Linked DNA regions of Drosophila melanogaster. The protein of the gene in region 1 interacts with the protein of each later gene in a pairwise test. Each region holds a gene or a part of one and is shown in the gene's direction. Other genes may lie near its edges.

Region 1 (7,099 bases):
ACGGCTACTTACTGACGCCTCGTAGTTTAAATTTCGACCAGACAAAAACAATAGAGATCGTTTTTCATACTATTTAAATTAGATTTAAAACTACGCGTTTTTTTACATATTTATTTAATCTGCAAATCTTTTTTATAAGGCCGTAAATTTATTTATTGTTCCTTTTTACGATCTAATTGAAAATTCAAGTGTTAAAAGTAATACATTTAGAGCTAATTCGTTTTAAGAATTCATTGTTGTATAAAAACTGATAGTAATTAATCATTTATGTGCTTAAATTAATTTATAAATTTGTTCTCATGCTTGCAGAACGATCGCATCACCAAATTGAAGATCGATAACAATCCGTTCGCTAAGGGTTTCCGCGAGTCGGGTCAATCCCGCTGCAAAAGGAAGCTGAACAGCAGCGGAAACTCGACGCTGGAGTCGGAGGATGATGGCTCCAGTGTGAGCAGCTGCGATTCTCCGCAGGCGAAGCGCCAGCGCCAGGATTTTGAGCAGGACTCAACGGGTAGTGTTTCGCCAGCTTACTATGGAGCAACTCATCCAGTTGCCAATCCTATGTCGCCGTATCTCCGCCATCACTTGAGCTATGGACCCAGTGGAGCTGCCGGATTGCCGCCCAGCATTGCAGCTGCCTATTTTGGTGGAGTTCCTCCGCAGATTCTGCCAATGCCACCAGCCACATATGCGCCAACTGTCGCGCCTGTTAGTCCTGTGGCCTCGCAACCCGTTGGCTCCAGCACACCCACAACATCACCAAGGCCTTCAACCTCAACGAAAAGAAATAGCTTCAGCATTTCAGCCATTTTGGCCTATTGAAAGAAATATTTGGTAAACATACTTAAGTTGGAGTCATCTTCTGTTGTGATTAGTGAGAAACGTGTGCATATACTTTGTAAGCTAATCTATGCTACATATAAGATCGTTTAAGAACCAAGCTGCAATCATATACATTGTTAATTCGTTTTAAGAGTCTTTGGTCAAAATAAACAAATCAGACATCGAATCCGTAGAAAATGCAAAACTATTTGCGGGGGGGGGGGGAGCAACGGTAACCTTCAGCGTTTCCGTTTTTACAGGTTTTTGGCCATATCGCAGTGCCTGGGCCAAAAGCAGTTATGCGACCGCTTTGGCGGGCCTAAGACAAATTAATGCTCTCCATTATGGTGACCAGTCGGTTCTCGAGTCACACGTATCTGAAAAACATCCAACTCCGGTAGTAGTTAAAGCAATTCTCCAAAGATAAGGCGTCCATTATGAGCAGCGATTTGACGGCTTTCAGGCTGTTTGGTCTTTGCCGACTCCCAGCTCCCCTGCGATTCCATCCGCATCCCTGGGACACAGAGATGACGCAGAGGTGGGTGCACGGAGAAAAAAAAGTATCACACATTTCAATTCAACTAAGTAAGTTTTGGCTTATGGTATTGCTAATAGAAATGGTTTTTAAAGTAAATTTAAAGAAAGAAAAATTCAACATTCATCTGATCATTTCAAAATCGAAGCACTTTTCTTGCAGTGCACTTGCTGCTGTTGCCGTCTTGTGAAATTTTCGTTTTATCGCACCTTTTATGGCCATTGGCCAGGCCAAAACGAAGTGGGAGCTGGCCAAGAAACCGAAACAGAAACCGATGCCGAGTCGGTTGGAGAGACTTTGGTGTGGTCACTCCTTGTGTGCATTATCGTGTCAAATGCGACAAATCTGTCTGTGGCCCGGCGGCTGCCTTTCAGCTTGCATAATTGAGCTGATAACTCGGCGCTCCGTGGATGTGTGCGGTCCACTTTTGAGCGTTTCCTAAACGGTGGCGCCAAACATTTCGTGTTTAATATTTTTAATTAAGTTTTTAAGTGCATCCAGAAGGAGATGGGACCACAGAGAATTTATCTAGCCAGTCGTTGCGGATAGTTCAAAGGGGCAACGAATCGATTTGGCTTCCATTCATAGAAATCGATGCATATATTATGCATAATGTAAGCCAAATCAGCGCGAAATAATTCACCAGCCACACGAAGCCGCGTTTCAAGCGGCTTTTTGACTAATTTGGGCTTAGTTTTGTATTAGCGCTTTGTGTTTCTCCTCGTCTTCGATTGGATTTGTTGGTGCATAAATTTACATTTGAAATGCTGAAACAATTAAATTATGGGATTTGCACGTTTTCACCCAAAAACAAAAGGGGCCAAAACAACATCAAATCACATTCGTTGTCGGCGTCTGTGCCTCAGAAGTGTTTTTTTTTTTTAATGTTAGGTGTTTTTTTGCTGACTCGCTGCTGGCTTCTTTTTGAAAAAACGGTGGCAAAAAGCGTCAAAATTCGTAGATTATGAGATAAAAATGGAAATCGAAGTCGCTCCGGTATTGCATTTCTAATTTGCGCTTGTTTTAATATACTTAATGAATTTTTATGTGTAGGTTGGTCCAATACTCATGCCCAAATCCAAATCCGGTTTTCGTTCGAAGCTGTTGATAATGATAATGAGGATAACGATGCTTTATTGAGGAGGTGTTGCCGTTCGGATCTGAATTTTATTTGCGCCACATGTTAGCATATTGTTGTTGCCGCTGCCGCTTTTGTTGTTCTTTATTGCTAATTATAATATATTTGATTTGGTATTTAAGCTTTAAGCTATAAAAATGTTCGCATTCTCTGTTTTACGAGCCAACAGCTTGCAAATATTCAATTAAATTGTGCGAACGAGAACAGGTCGAGGTGGATTGTGAAAACTAATCATAATTAACACACCTTTTTCTATAATGTTCTAAGTATTTTATTGAAATAAAAAAAGTCAAAAGGAAATAAAACATAGTTTTTGGTTTTGATGGCTTCTACACCCGTATTAAACATATTATATAATTACATTAGTAATATATATCTTAGAAAGTCTACATTTAAACAGAAGAACTGAGTGTTTTAAAACCAGTATTTGAGCTACCAATTTTCGATGGGTTTTGTATACATTTCTTAAGCATTTCCCTGTATTTTACATATTTTACGCATTATTTTACACATAATATTTTACATTTGCCATGTATTTTACAATGGTTTGGAGCCGTGCTATATGAGTACACTATCAAACAAAATTGTTTCTTAAATGCATTATTGTATTTTTAAAAACCATTAAGTGAATATCATATAACGGTTCTTTAAAAAAGTATCAATGAAAATGATTTCTTTACTTTAGCGCAAAACCATAGTTGTGAAAACAATTTTTAAATCCATGAGGAACTCAAGTATATCAAAATTTACTTTATACTTTATTTATTTCAAATTTACTTGTACATAGATTGAGTCTTTGCTTAGCAATCTCCTTTCCGATATCTATTAAAGTGGAGTTTTCAACCGTCTGTTTTTTGTTCGTACTAAATGGCGTTTTACTAGATTTATTCTAGCCATTTGGTTTAATGTCACTTTCTAACTTAGGGTCAGCCTGGCCGGTGTCATTCCAAATTCAACACCTAAAAATGCTGTTACATTTAAAACTCCGGCTTGAACTTCAATTACTAGGCCGCTGTGCGCAGCTAGTAATCAATCGCCATGCCAGCAAAGGAAATGTGGACAAGGAGGTGATGGAGCAAATGGAGAAGGGCTACAAGAAGTTGGCCGAGTCGAAATCCAAGTCCCTGCTGAAGAAGCATCTCACCAAGGAGATCTTCGAGAAGCTAAAGACGAAGACTACACCCTCGTTCAACTCCACACTGCTGCACTGCATCAGTTCGGGAATGTGCAATCATGACTCCGGCGTTGGGCTCTACGCCCCCGATCCGGAGGCATATAAGGTGTTTGCCGATCTCTTTGATCCCGTCATCGAGGAATACCATAAGTGCTTCAAGAAGACGGACAAACAGCCGGCGACTGCTTTCGGCAAAGGCGCGGATTTTGAAAACCTAGATCCCGATGGCCATTTCATCGTATCCACGCGTGTCCGTTGCGGAAGAGCCGTCAAAGGATACCCCTTCAATCCCTGCTTAACGGAGGCTGACTACATGGAGCTGGAGAGTAAGATTTGTGGGGCAGTGACTAGCCTCACCGGAGAGTACAAGGGTAAATACATGCCATTGACTGGAATGGATAAATGCATACAGGAGCAGCTCATAGAGGATCACTATCTGTTCAAGGAGGGCGATCGATTTCTGGCTTCCGCTGGAGCCTCTCGATATTGGCCAACGGGAAGGGGCATCTTTCTGAATAGCGCCAAGAACTTTCTGGTCTGGTGCAACGAGGAGGACCACATACGCATCATCTCGATGGAGAAGGGTGGCGACCTGGGCAAGGTCTACGATCGCATGGTTGGCGGCGTGGAGGCTCTCGGCAAGCAGCTGCAATTCAACAGGGATGAACGACTTGGCTTTTTAACCTTCTGTCCCACCAATCTGGGCACTTCTATTCGCGCCTCGGTGCACATCAAGCTGCCCAATCTAATGTGTGATCCCGACGAGATGAAAAAGCTGGCCGACAAGTATCGTCTACAAATCAGAGGAACCTCGGGCGAGCACTCAGAGGCCAAGGGCGGAGTGCACGATATATCCAACCAACGCAGGATGGGACTAACCGAATACGAAATCATCAAAGAGATGCACGATGGAATCAAGGGTCTCATAGAAGCCGAGTGTAAGGCAAAGTCAGCTTAGTTGTAAAGCGTGAAGTGTACAAAAGGTTAAAGGCCGTGATGAACTCTAAATAAATAATAAACTAAATATTTGTATACCCTATATGTCCTCTATATCCATTGAATACAAAACATTCATTGAGTTTTAAGTTTTTTTTTTATTTTTTTTTTAATAATTTTAATTCTTTTATAAACTTAAGACTTAAATAAAAGTATTTAAAGTTCCTTTTTTTGTTTTTGCTTGACACAGATGTCAAAATGTTTTACATTGTTTGGTTGTAATTAAGCAAATGTTTTTGTCAAATAGTTATCCGTTGTTGCTGCTGCTGCTGTAGGTGTTGATGGTGTTGCAAGATGGGATCCCTGCCTGCGCCCGCGACCCTCAAAGTATACGAAAATGCCGAAGGTTGCCGGACTGGGACAGCAGCTCCACACCATAGCTACAAACTAGACATATTTGCAGTTCGAACCGCCCAAAAGCGACAAGGCGGACGAGCCGAAGATTTCTAAGTGTTGCTGTTGTTGTTCTTGATTGTTGCGTATGCCCCGAACTGGTGGCACCCGTGGATAGATGTTAACTCCGGAGGCGATGCACCTCCAGCCGGGGGGACGATGCTCGGCGGTTGGCGGGCAATTTACAGGCTCTTCTCGAGCTTGATCAGCTCGGTGATGCCATCGTACATCTCCTTGACGGCCTCGAACTCGGTCAGACCCATGCGACGCTTGTTGGAGATGTCGTAGACACCACCCTCAGCCTCGGTGTGCTCACCGCGGGTTCCGCGCACCTGCAGGTTGTACTTGGCGGCAACCTCCTCCAGCTTGGCCTTGTTGGATGCCAGCTTGGGCACCTTGATGTGCACGGAGGCACGGATGGTGGTGCCCAGGTTGGTGGGGCAGAAGGTCAGGAAACCGAGACGGTCGTCGTGGCTGAATGGCACACGCTTCTCGATTTCGTTGACGGCGGTCACCAGACGCTTGTAGATCTGGCCCAGATCACCACCCTGCTGCATGGAGATGATGCGGAGATGGTCCTCCTCGTTGCACCAGACCAGGAAGGTCTTGGCATCGTTGTGGTAGATGCCACGGCCGCTGGGCCAGAAGCGGCAGGCGTTGGCGGCCTGCAGGAAACGATCGCCCTCCTTGAACAGGAAGTGGTCGTCGATCAGCTGCTGCTGGACGGCCTTCTCCATGCCAGTCAGGGGGTAGAACTTGCCCTTCAGCTCACCTTCCAGACCGGACAGGGTGCTGCTGACCTTGCTTTCCATCTCCTTGTACTGGGCCTCGGTCAAGCAGGGGTTGAAGGGGTATCCCTGCATGGAGCGACCGCAACGCACGCGAGTGGAGATCACGTACTCGTTGGTGGGGTCAACGTTGCCGAAGGTGGACACATCGCCAAAGTTGGAGGCCGGGTGCTTGTCGGTCTTCTTGAAGCCACCATGGTAGTCCTCGATGATGGGATCGAACAGGTCGGCGAACACTGTGTAAGCCTCGGCATCGGGAGCGTAGATGCCGACGCCGGAATCGTGGTTCTCCAGGCCAGACTGGATCACATCCAGCAGGGTCGACTTGAAGGTGGGCGTGACCTTGTTCTTCAGGTTGTCGAAGACCTCCTTGGTCAGGTACTTCTTCAACAGCGACTTGGAGTCGGAGGCAGCCAACTTGGCATAACCCTCCTCCAGTTTAGCGAGAACAGCGGCATCAACCATGGTGTCTTGTTTGCTGCAAAAATACGTAGAGAGAAGGAGAGAATGGGGTATTGACCATTAGTAAAAGGGCGTGGCTGGGGCGACAGTACAACATTTTATTGCTACAAAGGACTCGCCTATCTTCATTTTGTGGCGCCCAAAAGTCGGCAACATGTTTTCTTGTGTTTCTGTTTTCCTCAATTCCTGCCTGTTTGCCCCGCAATTAGTTTCGGGTTATGGCCATGTGCTCATACTCGACTTGGGTCTGTGGCACGCGACTGCCACATATACCCACGCTCCCTTTCCCCTTCAGCTCGCTACACCCAGAAAGCAGTACCCAGAACCGAACACCCATCACCCTTGATCCCACAACGCCCCTTTTTTAGTGGTGGTGACTCTGGTTTTGTTTCTCGATTGTGTCCTGCTTTCGGTGGTGGCTGACTGACTATAAAATTTTGCCGGCTGCCGCTGAATACGCAAATCGACGGCACACTATACACCCACCACCGCCCTCTGCCTTCCTCCTGTCGAAGGACATGCGCACTACAACAACATGGCTACCCAGCCGAAGTCCTGGACAAAACGAAGGACCAGGGCAATAATAATTTTTTTATGGCACTTTATTTTTGGCCGCTTTTTCGACAGAGCAGCGTTCATGCACTTACACACACACACACATGACGTCAGCCCCCTTCGGTCGGTCGGTCACCCAACCAGGGGATATACAGACAACTCCTGTCTAGGAGTCGTAGGCCCACTACAAAAAAAATTGAATATAAGAGCCCGGAACTCCGGGATACACACCCATC
Region 2 (9,763 bases), on another chromosome or scaffold:
GTGTACATAAACCTAATATCAATGACAATAGTGCAATGCAAACACAGTTGCACTTGATTAAATATTATGAAAATATGATTCTTAGAGTTGCAGAATGCCTTATCTGTTTGTTTATCCCAGCAATTTGCCCAGTCAGCTGTTATCTTTTGATATTCTGGTGTTTTCTGGATCCAGTTCGAGTTGGTTAGCCAACAGATTTTCAACTTCACACGGCTGTAAAAGCCGATACGCAGTTGGATATCTAAATATCCGGCATAAATACATATACTATATCAGATAGTTTAATGACATGCATTCATAAATGTCATCTGTTTGATTTAGTGGCCCTGCCATGGTTTTTGGGGCAAATGAATGGCTGTATAATGTGCATGTGATGTCCATTTGACTTATGTACATATGTACATTACTCAGATATGATTGTGATTTCGATGCATTGGTGCTGATTCGTGTGTAAGGCTAGATTTGCCCGTCTCGGTTATATCACCATTGTTGTGCAATTCCTTTCGCCAATGCCAATCGAATACTGCATCTCTTCCTACCCATGGAAATTCCCCATCTGCCTGCTTGTTTTCTCCATTGTCAGCATAAACAACACACTCGGTGCATCAACAGAACAACAACCCAACCTAATTGTCGGGCAATATACATTGTATGTACATCATATGTAGATCTAGTGTTGGAATTTGAGAAACACTTGATGCCGATTTCATTTCATTTCGCTTTCTACGCACACAACATATTTTATAGATGTAAATCTTTAGAACCAGACACTTTTTTGGATAATATTCCATTAACCATCTTTTCATCTTTTCCCTATATACATAATAAGTGAAACTTTTGCTGCAGGAATTATTAATATTAGTACCCAATAATAGCAGTATATTCTAAGCAGGGTCCCTACATCATTTTGTTATTGTTTTCCTTTTTTTCCGCTTCTTGGTTTTCTCTGGTTCTTTTACAAAAAATTTCTGTTTTTCCCCACGTTTCGATCTTTTTTTATTCGCTGATTTACGAATCACTTGAAGACGAAAAACAGGCGGTTTGAAAATAAGGTGAGGGGGAGGGGGGCAAGGGAATGGGTGGGGAAACTTTTGTGTTTCTATGTTTATGCGAGGCAACAGGTTTTTATTGGAATTAACCCCCTGCAGCCCCACTGTCCCACCATTTTTTTTTTTTGTTTTTCATTGTTTTAGTGTTTTTGCGTTTTTGAGCTGTGCGCGAGTTACCACCCCACCCCCTAAACCCCCACGCCTCTAAACAAATCATCGGACACTCAACCGGGAAGACGGCAACTGGAACACCGCATCCGGCCGAATGCTGACATTCCGGCCGAATGCTGACATTACACAAAAGTCGCACTGCAACATTGTCCCCAGCTAGCCAGCCACATGCCGAGTCGGCATGTTCATTATGCTTACAATTAAGAACCTATGTACTTATGTATAAGACGAAAACGGAGGACTCGAGTAGCCACTCTCTGACAATAAACTTCATACTGATTTTGAACTTCAAGAAAGTCAGTCGTATTCTTTATTGGAAATCTTCACACTACAACTATCTGCTGAAACTTAAAAACCTTCATACATTTACACATCATATCTTCACAAAAGGCTCCACCCTCGATCACGGACTTAACTGGCGCAGCCGGTAGGATGTCCTACCTATTAATAATTACCTACCTGTTCACCCTTGTGCCAACTCAGGCTATCCATGTCCATTATTTAAATGATAACGCCCCTATAGCCAAGATAGAACTAGGGAAAGCCTTACTAATTGAGAGGTACAAAATAATTAGTCATGTAATCAACCTACAAGACTACAGCAGATGTATGGAACAATTCCATCTGACCATTAATAAATTTAACCCCGATTCCACGTTGACGGACTCCGTCACAATTTTAAAAACCAAATTAACCCAAGCCCAAGTAAAGCTCAAAGCCCTTACACCTTCATATAGAAACAAACGGGGTTTGATTAACGGATTGGGGAGTCTAGTAAAGGTGGTTACCGGCAACATGGATGCCAACGACAATAAAGAAATACATGAAGAACTTGACAATATAAAGAAAAATTCCGAAGTCAGTAACGACAATCTCCAAAAACAAGTAATGTTTAACAACGAAATACTTATCCGGTTCGAAAATATCACGGACCATATAAATAATGAACAAATTTTGATAAGTAAATTCTTTGATACCTCACAAAACAAAATATACAAACACTTAAACTTACAAGATACCCTTCTGGAAGAAATACAATATTTAAATAGGATTAATTATAACATAGAATTATTCATTAACCACCTAAACGACATAACAGAAAGTATGCTATTGGCGAAAATAAATATAATTCCCAAGTTCATCCTAAATGAACAAGAAATGGATAAAATAAAAACAATACTGGAAAAACAAAATATCACAGTCAAAAATGAACAAAGTATATACAATTTCCTACAAATGAATACACTAAATTACGAACAAAAGATTATTTTTAATATCAAAGTCCCAATTTTTAAACAACCTTTTCATACCCTCGCCAGACTAGTTCCATTACCAATAAATAACACATATTTTGTAATAACCCCAAATTACCTAGCTTATAATATTAATAATAAGAAATTTCATATGACCCGTAAATGCCCCAAACTGGATAATACATTCTTGTGCGACGAGAACTTCTACGTTGATACACCACAGAACAACACATGCCTGGAACACCTTTTGAACGGAGAAAACAGTTCCTGCGATGTACGGGAAACCGGCCCCATCACCGACGTGTTCGAGGCAGAGAGAGGTTACATCTTCGCATTCAACGTGAACAAACTGAAGGTATCCCTAACAAACGGCTCCGAGCTCTCAATAATGGGGTCAGCCATCATCAGATACATTAACGAAACAATACAGATTAACGGTATCGATTACGACGGCACGGTTGACACGTTCCCTGAACAGACGGATTTTGATCTTCCCCCCATGCGAAAAGTAACTAGGAATACCACTATTACGGTACTAAGCCTAGAAAAACTGCACCTCGAAGCCACCCAAACAATGGATAAAATCCTGGCCGTCCATCACAATACTATACAGCACACCTGGACACTCTACACTCTGCTCGGATTGGTAACGTTCCTAGCAGTCATCTTATGGCTGCACCGACGAACGAAACACATCGTCCACATCCACGAGGATCATCACGTACCAATCTACGCGTCATCCATACCTTCGCTATGGCCGTCACTTCGAACTGGGGGGGGAGGAGTTACCACCCCACCCCCTAAACCCCCACGCCTCTAAACAAATCATCGGACACTCAACCGGGAAGACGGCAACTGGAACACCGCATCCGGCCGAATGCTGACATTCCGGCCGAATGCTGACATTACACAAAAGTCGCACTGCAACATTGTCCCCAGCTAGCCAGCCACATGCCGAGTCGGCATGTTCATTATGCTTACAATTAAGAACCTATGTACTTATGTATAAGACGAAAACGGAGGACTCGAGTAGCCACTCTCTGACAATAAACTTCATACTGATTTTGAACTTCAAGAAAGTCAGTCGTATTCTTTATTGGAAATCTTCACACTACAACTATCTGCTGAAACTTAAAAACCTTCATACATTTACACATCATATCTTCACAAAAGGCTCCACCCTCGATCACGGACTTAACTCGCGTGCCGCATTCAACGTGATGCTGAATTGAACATTTATTGAACAATTTCCAGTTCGTTCCTCTTATAAGCGCGATACAATGACGCCAGCAATGTGTGTGTTGTGCTGATTAACCCCTGGTTACCCCGTTCCCGCCACCAAGCACAGAGTAATTTGATTACGTGGTTTCAGTTTTTGCGGTTGGTCAGTTCAGTGATTATCTAATTGAAGAGTGTAACAGTGAGAATTTTTCTATTATGAATTTGCATTACTCAATGCTTTGATTACCCTTTGACCGATAACAATTTGTTTCAGTTTTTTGTATAGCATAATGAAAAATATGAATGGAAAAGTTGAAGGATCAAGGAGTTCTCATGAAAATGTTCCAACAACAAGTACAGTTGCCCCCTGCGTTGATAGTCGTTGTTTACGTTTCGCGTGTTTTAATCTTTTGGCAGCCCCCATTGTTTACCCCGATCTGTTGTTTAGCCCAAGATCAAGGTGATGTTGCCTAACCCGAATTCCATTGACGTCACCGCATCTGGCCCAGAGGACCAACTAGCGGGGCTTATCCTGATGCCAGGGGTCAGGGGTGAGTTGACATTCGTTTTTATTTATTCACTGTTTTTTTTTGTTTGTTAGCGTGGCCGACAACTGTCAACGGGAATTAGCGACAAACTGACGACAGCAAAACGGACGCAAAGTGGAAAACGAGATAAGCGCACTTAAGTGTAACCAACGAGGATAATACATAACGTACGAGTCGTGAGTAAAGAATCCTTTAAGCTGTACCGTGCAATAACTAGTCAATTAAATACGATTTACATAGAATATGCATTCTATGAGCATATTTATAAAAAAAAAGTATTTTATATTAATATAAAATACATAAATATGTGCACATTTGCTCAAATGTTATGTTTCTTGTGTTTCTTGAGCTCGCTTCTCTGCTTAATCTTTTCCAGACTAAGATTAATCATTTCAATAAGAAAAGCCACAGTCACGCGCCTCTTTTCTTTTCTTGTTCCCTCCATCGAAATTAATGTGACTCAATCAGGAATCGAATTAATGTTCTCAATTGAACAAACCGGCCAAGAACGAACAAAATAAAAACGCCCATCTGCATTGTCAGTGGAAAATTCCCAAAATCTCGCTAGAAAGGGACGGCGAAAGAGAGCAAGGATTACGGGGGGCGTTGCAGGGGGTGTGGCCGGTGGCAAAGGGCACAGCTTTCGCTCTGCTCATCGATTAAACAACGCGAATGAGCAGGGCGAGGAGAAGGACGCGAAAAGGACCCGTTATCCTGACCTAGTCAAAGTTCGCCTCTCTCGCGCTCTCTCGAGCGCAGTGACATTTACTCTACGCCCTGCTCTCGCTCTCTCTCTCCCTCTCTCTCGCCATATGCGTAGAGTGGGTGGCCAGGAAGGGGGCTTCCCTACCCAGCCCTTTTGCAAAGTTCAAGCCCATCACAGTTATTTAATTATTGCATGTCAAAAGTGCATGTTTTAGTATGAGCTTCATTTACCTGTGCATTCATTTGATTATCCACTATAAATTGACAAAAAGTTGTGTAACTAAATGAATTTAGCAAGCTTTTTGGTTTTACAGTGTAAAATCGACCAGTGCATTAGTTTAAAAAGGTCAAAACACCACTGATTGCCGATCGTGTGGGACGGGCCGTCTTGTGTGGAACATAAATTTTGTATGACTATATTGCAGCTTTTGCAGCCGATAAGAACTGTAGATAAGCCGCTGAATGGGATCCTCTATAAAAAGTAGAGATGCCTAAGCATACGCTCACTCACTGTGCTATTTAAAGGCAGACGAGCACGTCTTTAAAAACGTCTTTTTAAAAAAAAATAATAAATACTTATACCACATCATCGCTTGAAAGTGAGTAAATAAGTTCTGAAGTTCCGCATGTATGGATACAATACACCCCATAAGAAACTGTTTCAACCACTCCCATGCCAATCCTGTTATCCGGTTTCCTCTCTCTTCTAAATTCTTACCCCATCATCCCCACCACTTTTCCACTCTCCTTCTCGCGTTTTTTTTTTCGATTTTTTGAAACGTGTGAGCCAGCACGTAGCCAAAAATTCTGAACCGGGGGGGAAAATGTAAGCCGGCTTTGGTCCCGTGACCCCTGCGACTTGCCTTTTGGCCCGTGTCAAGGACATTCACCCGTATCCAGCCTTCGATTAGCGACATTTATCGATTTCCGTCCTGCTTCAATTTCCATTGGACACTTTCCGGCGTTTTCATTGTTTGCCATTACAGTCAAAGTGCAGGTTTTGAGTGCAAATATAATTGCCCAGGTGAAAATGAATATTACAACGTTTTGGCCTTGGCTTCAACGCGGGGTCAGTGATCCCCTCCCCCCACTTGTTAGCCCCTCTTGACCGCACACCAGACTTGTTGTTGTCTCGCTTACACATAAAAAACAGCGCTTACATGTTTACAACTATTTTTACAAATGGAAATTTTGTCAATCTGTCTTAACTTCTTGGTAAATAGTAGATATATTCATAATAAATGAAATAGTCTACATTTTAGGCCAACATAGTTTTCTTGCTGTGCACTTAATCGCCTTGTCTATTTAAGCGATTTGAAAACAAAAACGTGCTACGAATTGGAATGCGAAAGGAGAGGTAGAGAGACGAAGCGAAAGAGAAGAAGAAGACCGCAGAAGGCATCGAAGCGAGCGCGGCTTAAGAACGTGTGAGCAAAACAAACGGGCCGAGGGAAAAGAGAAAAAAAAAACGTTTCAAGTGAAAGTCGAACACAAAAACAGAAAAGGAGAAGGCGAACAGAGAAAATTGGTAAAAAATGAAATTGAAGCCAAGCCAAGTTGCTCTTCTCTTTGGTATGTTGGCCACAACAACAAATACAACCAACGACTGCGACGCCGACTGAGAGCCGCTGTAACCAATTAGGGTGGTCCTTAATAGGCTTGTTGAGAAAATACCCGACACCTTTATATTAAGAGAATATTACATTACTCATACGACCCGTAGCCCCTTCTTAAATAATATCTATAAAAATTAAATCATAATAACATGTAAAACAATACATTTCGAAACCATAAAGCAGTTAAGACTCTGTAAAAGTATGCAAACTGATTATAAAAAATGTTTGGCAACACTGCGTATGAGTGATTACTAATACGCATAGGTTCCCCATTCCACTTAGCACCCCTTTCTAAATAAATTCCGTTTTGTGATATTTATTATCATCGTCCAAGCAACAAAATATGTAATTTAGCTACACAAAGATGGCAAACAGGTCCACCCTAGTACATATCCAACCGCGGCAGAGGCAGCATGTTAATAACAGACGCCTCGGAATAATTTTATTTCAGGTTATTTCTGACGCGTTAACACGGCTCGGAACCGCTGGATATCGAAGTCAGGCGCTGAGCAATTGGACTCCACGGCAGTCAGTTGCCCAAGATCGCGCGAGAGGCTTAGACACACGGAGGGAGTAGCCCAGTAACTAGACTTTCATATCACCCGTACTAACTGATAGAGCAAATATAGTCGGCCGCCCATGGGAAATGAGCGAAATTGCCACCTGACTGACATCCCCCTAAAAAGTTGTTAGTTGTTATTACAGCATTCCAAAAAAACATATCTTTTCATACGGGTAAGTCTTTGGTGGGCTAATCGTTAAATCGTTTTTTTTTTTCAGTGCTATGTACAAAAATCGAATTGAATTTCCATTTTGATAAATCAATAACTTATTTGGCTGAAGGAAAAAGTTCAGGTGTTAATTCCATTTGCCATAGAGAAAGTTCTTTGGCTCGAAATTTGACCGACTTACACACATTCCCTTAATTCAATTATATTTGAATAATTGATATTGTTTTAGGTTTCTATAAAAACTATGAGCAGCTTAATGTTAATAAAATTAAATTAATTCTCGCACACTTATCATTCCCATGCATAAACGATCATTCGAAGTGAATACAAGCTAGCTTAGAATAGTTTATGAATTTTTAATTCGGTCTGTAAAACAATTACTCGTTAAGTTTCCAATACCAACCGGTATCCAAAGTCTAAGCGCTCAATTTGATTGAGCCATTTTTGCATTGTCATGGTGTGACAGCAACGAACGAATTAAGTGAATTACGAGAAACCAGTTGTTTAGTTGCTCAGGTGCAAAACCACCCGAGATTTCGGGGTCAGGGGGGCCTTTAACTTGCTAACTCACCTAACCGACCCCTCCACGTCCCTCCCCGCCGGTGGTGACCGTCGCCTCTTGACTTATTTCTTTTGTACCCTACCCCTTTTCCGCTTTTAATGGGTTAACTTACAACTTTCTTTTCCTCCCTCTCTCTCTCTTTCTCTCTTACTCTCTTTTAGAATTCGACTAAAGCGGAAGAGAACACTGACGGGGGAAACCAGAGATTGTGTATCGAATCCATCGCTTAGCCAGCTATGTCGGAGGCTGCCACGCCCCCAGGATCAGTGCCAGGAACAGTATTCCCACCTGGCTTCGATCCCACTGCCGAATCGGTGGAGAAGACTCTCTGCTTCCGGGGTTTCTGGGCCTGGGCCGTGCTGATATTCCTGATTGTTCTGGGCATATTGCTCTTCATGTGGCTGCTGCGCAAGTGCATCCAAGGACCGGCCTACCGGAAGGCCAATCGCATCGATGGCAAGGTGGTCATCGTCACCGGCTGCAACACGGGCATTGGCAAGGAGACGGTCCTCGAGTTGGCCAAGCGGGGTGCCCGCGTCTACATGGCCTGTCGGGATCCCGGTCGGTGTGAGGCCGCACGACTGGATATCATGGATCGCAGTCGCAACCAGCAGCTCTTCAATCGCACCCTGGATCTGGGCTCCCTGCAGTCGGTGAGAAATTTCGTGGAGCGCTTCAAGGCGGAGGAATCCCGGCTGGATATACTGATCAATAATGCCGGCGTTATGGCCTGTCCCAGGACCCTCACAGCCGATGGCTTTGAGCAGCAGTTCGGTGTCAATCATCTGGGACACTTTTTGCTCACGAATCTGCTGCTGGATCGACTGAAGCACAGCTCGCCCAGTCGCATTGTGGTGGTCAGTTCGGCGGCACATCTCTTTGGGCGAATCAACCGCGAGGATCTGATGAGCGAGAAGAACTACAGCAAGTTCTTTGGGGCGTACAGTCAGTCCAAGCTGGCCAACATCCTGTTTACCCTCAAGCTGAGCACCATCCTTAAGGACACCGGCGTAACGGTGAACTGTTGTCATCCGGGTGTGGTCCGCACCGAGATCAACCGCCACTTTTCCGGTCCCGGCTGGATGAAGACCGCCCTGCAGAAGGGCTCGCTGTACTTCTTTAAGACACCCAAGGCTGGCGCCCAGACCCAGCTGAGATTGGCGCTGGATCCGCAGTTGGAGGGCTCCACTGGTGGCTATTACTCGGACTGCATGCGCTGGCCATTGTTTCCGTGGGTCCGGAATATGCAGACCGCCGACTGGTTGTGGCGAGAGAGCGAGAAGCTGCTGGGTCTGCCACCGCTGGAGCCACCTCCACCTGTCCAGAGCCCCACCCAGAATGGCAATGGCACTCAAAACGGCAATGGTAGTTCCAGTGCCAGTGCCAGTGCCAGTAGTAACAATCCCGCTTCACGGGAAATGCAATCCGTGGAAACGGTCGTGGTCAATCGTTCGTAGTTGTGGTCAGAGTCCTTCATTGGAGTGCAGACCTTGCTCTTAATTTAATTCCCTGTAATATGGCGTGCTTGAGTACCCTTGGAAATACCCAGTGCGGAATGAGGCCGATTCGGGTCTAATTTATAGAGATATATAGTAATATATTTATGTTTGATTTTCACATGAGATTATTGAAAGAATTCGGTTCTTGATATTGTATAATCCACGTTCTATATTAATTAACTATGTTTAAAATTGTTGATTTCCCAGGGTATTTGAGTCTTCGGTCAATCGAAGTTAGCTTTTGCATACTCTCTTGTTTTTTTTTTTGTCGCTCTCGTTCTGTACATAATTTTAAGGAAAAGAAAACCCATTAAAATAAAAGTTAAACCTGACATGCAATCCTGTTTTCGACTCTCCTCTTTCTGTTGCTCTCTCCATTCCTGTCGCCCCCCCCCCCCCCCTACACCA
Region 3 (6,155 bases), on another chromosome or scaffold:
GGATTCGGAGACTTGGTACCGATAGAAGGAACTTTAAATCAGAACGGATACCTTCTTATCTTAAACAACCATGCTTTTACGTCTGGAAATAGACTTTTTCCAACTACTGAATGGATTCTTCAGCAGGACAATGCTCCATGCCATAAGGGTAGGATACCAACAAAATTTTTAAACGACCTTAATCTGGCGGTTCTTCCGTGGCCCCCCCAAAGCCCAGACCTTAATATCATTGAAAACGTTTGGGCTTTTATTAAAAACTAACGAACTATTGATAAAAATAGAAAACGAGAGGGAGCCATCATTGTAATAGCGGAGATTTGGTCCAAATTGACATTAGAATTTGCACAAACTTTGGTAAGGTCAATACCAAAAAGACTTCAAGCAGTTATTGATGCCAAAGGTGGTGTTACAAAATATTAGTATTGTATTTATATAAAATAAAAAAAATTCTTATGTTGAAATTAGATGTTAAGCTGAAATTTACTAAATTAAGTTGAGTGAAAATACTTTTGAAGCGCAATAAACATGTGAAAATACTATTGACAACTTGCATGCATATTTTCTTTTGCTTTAAGCTTTGTACTATGAACCGTTATCTTTCGTATTTCTTTTCGACTACCTTCTGCATAGATCAAGCTAAGCGATAAGAACTATTTCAGGCAAATCGGACAACAACAAGAAGAAATATAACAAAAAGAAGTTGAAGTTTGCAAATATTGTGCGTTGTGAAAATACTTTTGACCACCTCTGTATATATTAAGGGCTCCGCGTGTTGGTAATTCGAGTTCTTAATCATTATTAATTAATTAAATCAGTATTTAGTTAAATGTCATATAACAATTTCATTTTAAGCATGAATCGTTTCTTGTTCACTTTACTTTCGTGGATTGATAAATGGAACTGCTTGATCATCTTCCTAAACTAAATGTAAATTTTAAGTACAAAAATTGCTCTCACTCAATTTGTTGCCAAAAGCTCGCCGAAATTCTCAAATTATTTGTCCAATCATGCTCGCATTGCATTGCCGTGTGGAATACGATCCACTTGAAATCCACAAGCCAACAAAAAGCTTTTGTTTGCCGGTAGCTTGCGCTTTACAAATCATTTGTGCTCGACGATCGTAAGCGAGGAGTTGCGCAGTTCGCCGATCTGTGTATATAGAATATATAAAGAATATAGCATAAACACACAATGGCGAACATCTGGCCACGAATCTTGGTCGGAGCTCTGACCATCCTGGTGGCCGTTGGCTATAAGAACTATCGCGATCTCTCGGCGCCCGGCAAGAGACCCGATCTGGACAACAACGCCTACTGGGGTCCAACATTGAAGGAACCTTATCGGGAGAACAAGGCCATCCTACCCTTCGACATCAGCGTAAAGCCAGAGGTAAATAAATATACATACACAAATGCATATATACAAATGCAAAATATCAAATCAGTATGATATGCAATCAAAGCTATGAATGTATAGTATATGTAAATATTTCGAATCATGCTGGTATGCAAGTATCATTAATTATACAGAATTTATGGTAATTTGTACAAATTCATACTATTTAAAGTTATATTTGATTTAATAATTTAATTTAAGTTATATAATTTTTTTAATATCCTTCATCACTTCTTATCAAAGGTTATTGAGGATCTAATCGGTCAGCTGAGTCGTCCTTTGAAAGCGCAGGCGCCACTGGAGGGTGTGGGTTTCCAATACGGATTCAATGCCAACGAACTGGCCAAGGTGGTGAAATACTGGCGCGATACATATCTGCCCAAATGGAGCGAACGGGAGGAGTACCTCAAGAAGCTGGATCACTACCAAACGGAAATTCAGGGGTGAGTGCGACAGAACTTATGGAAAACCGAAGTGTTCCACGCTTAATTAGTCGCCTGCTTTTGCAAATTAACATGAAAAGTTAACCCCAAATGTTTTTCCATTTTTTTGCAGTTTAAAAATTCATTTTATTCATGCCAAGCCAAGCCAGGTGAAAGGCCAAAAGCCCAAGAAGGTGCTGCCTCTGCTTCTGATGCACGGATGGCCGGGAACCGTTCGCGAATTCTACGACTTCATCCCTCTCCTGACCACGCCCAGTGACAAGAGCGACTACGTCTTCGAGGTTATTGCACCCAGTCTGCCCGGCTACGGATGGTCTCAGGTTAGATTTGTTTCCAAAGGGACAACAATAAATTGCTAACCAAGTAATGCTATATTCTCCAAAAGCCGTAAGCCATAGAACTTATCTCTTACTATGGCATTAATATATAGCACTTAGGTAGACAAGTTATTACACAACCTTCTCCAAATTACAAATTGAAAAATGACTAATTTTATATTTTTCCAACTCCAGGGCTCTTCAAAAACTGGATTCGGTGTGGCGCAAGTGGCGGTGGTGATGCGCAACCTGATGCTCCGAGTGGGATTCGATAAGTTTCTGGTGCAGGGTGGCGATTGGGGTTCCATAATTGGATCCAATGTAGCCTCACTTTTTCCGGAAAACGTGCTGGGCTATCATTCTAATATGTGCGGAAATAACAGCCCTATGGGTCAGTTGAAGATGGTGCTGGCCTCCTTTTTCCCCAGCTGGTTTGTGGACAGCGAGTATGCGGACTTCTACAAGGGACTCGGTCACTTGTTTAGCACCATAATGGAGGAGATGGGCTATGCCCACATTCAGGCCTCCAAGCCAGACACCATCGGCAATGCTTTGATCGACAATCCAACTGGTCTGGCTAGCTATATTCTGGAGAAGTTCTCCACATGGACGAATACGGCATTTAGATCGCTTCCTGACGGTGGTCTGACCAAGAGATTTACCTACGATCAGCTTCTGGACAATGTGATGATCTATTATGTGACCAACTCCATTACCACCTCCATGCGTCTGTATTCCGAATCAATGGTTGCCTCGCAGTTTGCACTGGCCGTGGACTCCGTGCCCATCAAGGCCAAGGCTGGCTGCACCCGTTTCGCCCATGAGATCACACATTTCTCCGACTCGGTTTTGGCCAACAAGTTCCCCAATCTGGTGCACAGTACCCACCACCGGGATGGAGGTCACTTTCCCGCTTTTGAGCTGCCCCAGCAGCTGTACGACGACTTTGTGTCTTTTGTCCAGAAAGCCAATTTCTCATAAAACAAAATTGTTTATCATTAGTTATAGAAGTCCATTGTACATTTTCATCGTGATTCTTGAAAGAAACGGTTATGTTTGTTGCAAAAATTAAATCAAATCGACTTGGTGATTGTATTTGCCTTATCTGCTTTGAAAACCGAAAGTTGAAGAGTTTTTTGTTTGGAATACACGAGTGGCGAGCAAAAGGGCAGTGTGTGGTGTTTGCTTTCATAAGTATATGTACATATATGATATATCTAAGCTCGGAACGATGTTACGTAACTTATTCCCATGGGCTATAGTCGACATTGGTGTACCCTTTATAAGAAATCATGTAATATGTTGAATTATTACTTAACTAAATGACAGTAGAGTGATATTAAACCAAATGAACATCAAATTTTACTTGGCAACAAAGATCTCACACATGTTCAGTCTACCCCAGTGTAGTTCGAAAATAAGGGGTATTTTTTAGCTAACCTGGTAGCCCAGCTGCGTCGCAAAATATACAAAAACAATTCGCGGGTCTCATTCTTTATACATATAGTACATACATACATACATACCCCTCCGGTCTTTACCCGTAAAAGCTTCAAACCAAAAACCGGCATGTAAGCTTTGTTGAGTAAATAAACAAACAAGCCGATTCATTCGAGTCATCCCCGATGTGGAAAGCCGCTACTCCGTCTCAGTGGAGTCGAGTCCAAAGTAAACCCGCGATAAGCCCCAACTGATCGGCGTAGGGTGGTCACTCAAAGTCGCTTATCATCATGAGCGTCGAAAACGAGAGCTGCGCCCACGATGATATGGTAGAATCAGTGGAATCGTAGCTGCTATCCGAGACAGTCTGAGTGGAACCGCTGATAGGAACAGATGGGTGTCACTGTTAAAATTCTGGTCTTGATACTGGCCATTGCCGGTGGGCTGGTCTATAGGAATGTGACCCAACTATGGGCGGACTTGCCCGCACCAAAGTTGGATCCCCAGGAGTGGTGGGGCGATGAGGCGCAGCCCAAGGATTACGAGGCCTATTTGAAGAACAATTCGGAGGTGATAGGCAATAGGCTTAGTTATCCGGATAAGGTAAGTGGGGGTCTATCCATTATTATGTACTATATACTAACTCATACCATGTGCAGACCATTGCTGATTTGAAAGAGCGTCTCAATCGCACCCTGCGCCTTACGCCTCCGCTCGAGGGCGTGGCTTTTGAGTACGGATTCAATACGAATTACCTTAAGGAGGTCGTGGAGTACTGGCGCGATGACTACCTGCCGCGTTGGCGCGAACGCGAGGTGTTCCTTTGGCAGTTCAATCACTTCACCACCGATATTCAGGGGTAAGATAAGGTGCCCACTTATCATATGCACAGATAGTAACGATGGGGTTTTAGGCTACGCACACACTTCCTCCACCTGATGGTTTATGATGACAACAAAGTGGGTAAGAAACACTATCCGGTGTTGCTGCTCCACGGATGGCCGGGATCGGTGCGGGAGTTTTACGATTTCATACATTTGCTGCATCAGACCAATCTGGACAATAATAACAAGTACATCTTTAACGTCGTGGTTCCGAGTTTACCAGGTTATGGCTGGTCACAGGTGGGTTTTGTCCAATCTACGTAGTGTATTATAGGCTTATCTGTCTCTTATCCTGCAGGGCACCTCCAGAAAAGGACTGGGTCCCGCTCAAGTGGCGGTGATGATGAGGAATCTTATGCTGCGTTTGGGATACAACAAATTCTTTATCCAGGGTGGAGACTGGGGCAGCATTATTGGCAGCAACATTGCCACCTTGTATCCGGAAAACGTGCTGGGCTACCACTCGAACATGTGCAACAATTTGAGTCCGAAGTCGCTGGCTAAGGGTTTAGTGGCCGAATTTTGGCCCAGTTTGTTTGTGCCCTCTGGCTTTGAAGATTTCTTCTTTCCCAAGTCTAACGAGATGAGATACCTAATGGAGGAGAGTGGCTACTTCCACATCCAGGCCACCAAACCGGACACCATCGGAGCCGCCCTCACCGATAACCCAGTGGGTCTGGCCGCCTACATTCTGGAGAAGTTCTCCACGTGGACAAATCCCAGCTACCGATCTCTGCCAGATGGAGGACTCACTAAGCGCTACAAAATGGATGCCCTGCTGGACAACCTGATGATCTACTACCTGACCAATTCGATTACCACCTCCCAGCGTCTCTATGCCGAGCAGTATGCCCAGGCACAGCGGGACCTGCACCTGGATCGGGTTCCCACCCGAGTGCCAACTGGATGTGCCCGTTTCAAGAGCGACATTATGCAGTTCCTGGATGTCCAGTTGAAGGATAAGTACACGAACCTAGTGCACAGCACTTACCACAAAAAGGGCGGGCACTTTGCCGCTCTAGAGGTTCCAAAGGTTCTATACAAGGATTTTATAGACTTTGTCGAAACGGTGGAACGTAAGTTTAAAATTAAGACTCTGTAGATCTTCCAATAAAAGCTTAATTGTTACAAAAAAAAATTAGTTTTTATTTGGTATCGATAACCTAAATGGTTTTGATCCTGGAAATGACTAGGTACCCGGAAAAATAGTAGTAGATGTTACCGTTTTCCACTTTCAACTTTTCACTTTTCTATTTAACCTTAATATTCAATGTTGTATTAGGAATATTTAATTTGTTATATACACTTCAATGAATAAGTCCAAAACAATTCATTCATATTTTTCATAATAATAATAATTTGGTTTAGTTTCTATGGAACGCATAGATTAAATTTTTAGAAGAATAATCGGGACATAGTTTAATTTTTATCATTATCGGTATTTTTTAAATGTTGTACCTCAGCAAACACAAAATACTGAAAAGGGTACCTTGTTTTAGGGCCAGGTACACGCGTGAAGTTACCTCCCATCCCTGATCCTGGAACATTACAATCGGGAATCGGAGTTAAAGTGGCTGCGCAGATGGTCAAGAATATATAGGAATATTAAACAATTACAAATTTGGAATACAGGATTTGTGTGAGATACAGGCTGGTCCAGAAGCTCATAAAACGAA

The links. Proteins that work in one complex are often made in the same cells at the same time.
Region 2: the proteins of Argk2 (region 1) and CG3842 interact in a two-hybrid assay, tested with the Drosophila melanogaster proteins (one large-scale study listed by BioGRID).
Region 3: the proteins of Argk2 (region 1) and Jheh1 interact in a two-hybrid assay, tested with the Drosophila melanogaster proteins (one large-scale study listed by BioGRID).

Annotation. Positions count from the first base shown.
Region 1 is NT_037436.4:9,044,036-9,051,134, forward strand, and holds Argk2 (arginine kinase 2), read left to right. Parts: upstream 1-3,403; 5' UTR 3,404-3,460; coding exon 3,461-4,627; 3' UTR 4,628-4,689; downstream 4,690-7,099. Other genes in the region: Doc1 (Dorsocross1), read left to right, coding at 310-822; Argk1 (arginine kinase 1), read right to left, coding at 5,241-6,324.
Region 2 is NC_004354.4:6,334,046-6,343,808, forward strand, and holds CG3842 (uncharacterized protein), read left to right. Parts: upstream 1-3,716; 5' UTR 3,717-4,418; intron 4,419-5,450; exon of another isoform or gene 5,451-5,546; intron 5,547-7,014; 5' UTR 7,015-7,298; intron 7,299-8,017; 5' UTR 8,018-8,092; coding exon 8,093-9,313; 3' UTR 9,314-9,686; downstream 9,687-9,763.
Region 3 is NT_033778.4:18,852,887-18,859,041, reverse strand, and holds Jheh1 (juvenile hormone epoxide hydrolase 1), read left to right. Parts: upstream 1-3,954; 5' UTR 3,955-3,988; coding exon 3,989-4,198; exon of another isoform or gene 4,199-4,254; coding exon 4,255-4,454; exon of another isoform or gene 4,455-4,508; coding exon 4,509-4,719; exon of another isoform or gene 4,720-4,777; coding exon 4,778-5,581; 3' UTR 5,582-5,608; downstream 5,609-6,155. Other genes in the region: Jheh2 (juvenile hormone epoxide hydrolase 2), read left to right, coding at 1,192-1,389, 1,639-1,838, 1,951-2,158, 2,351-3,136.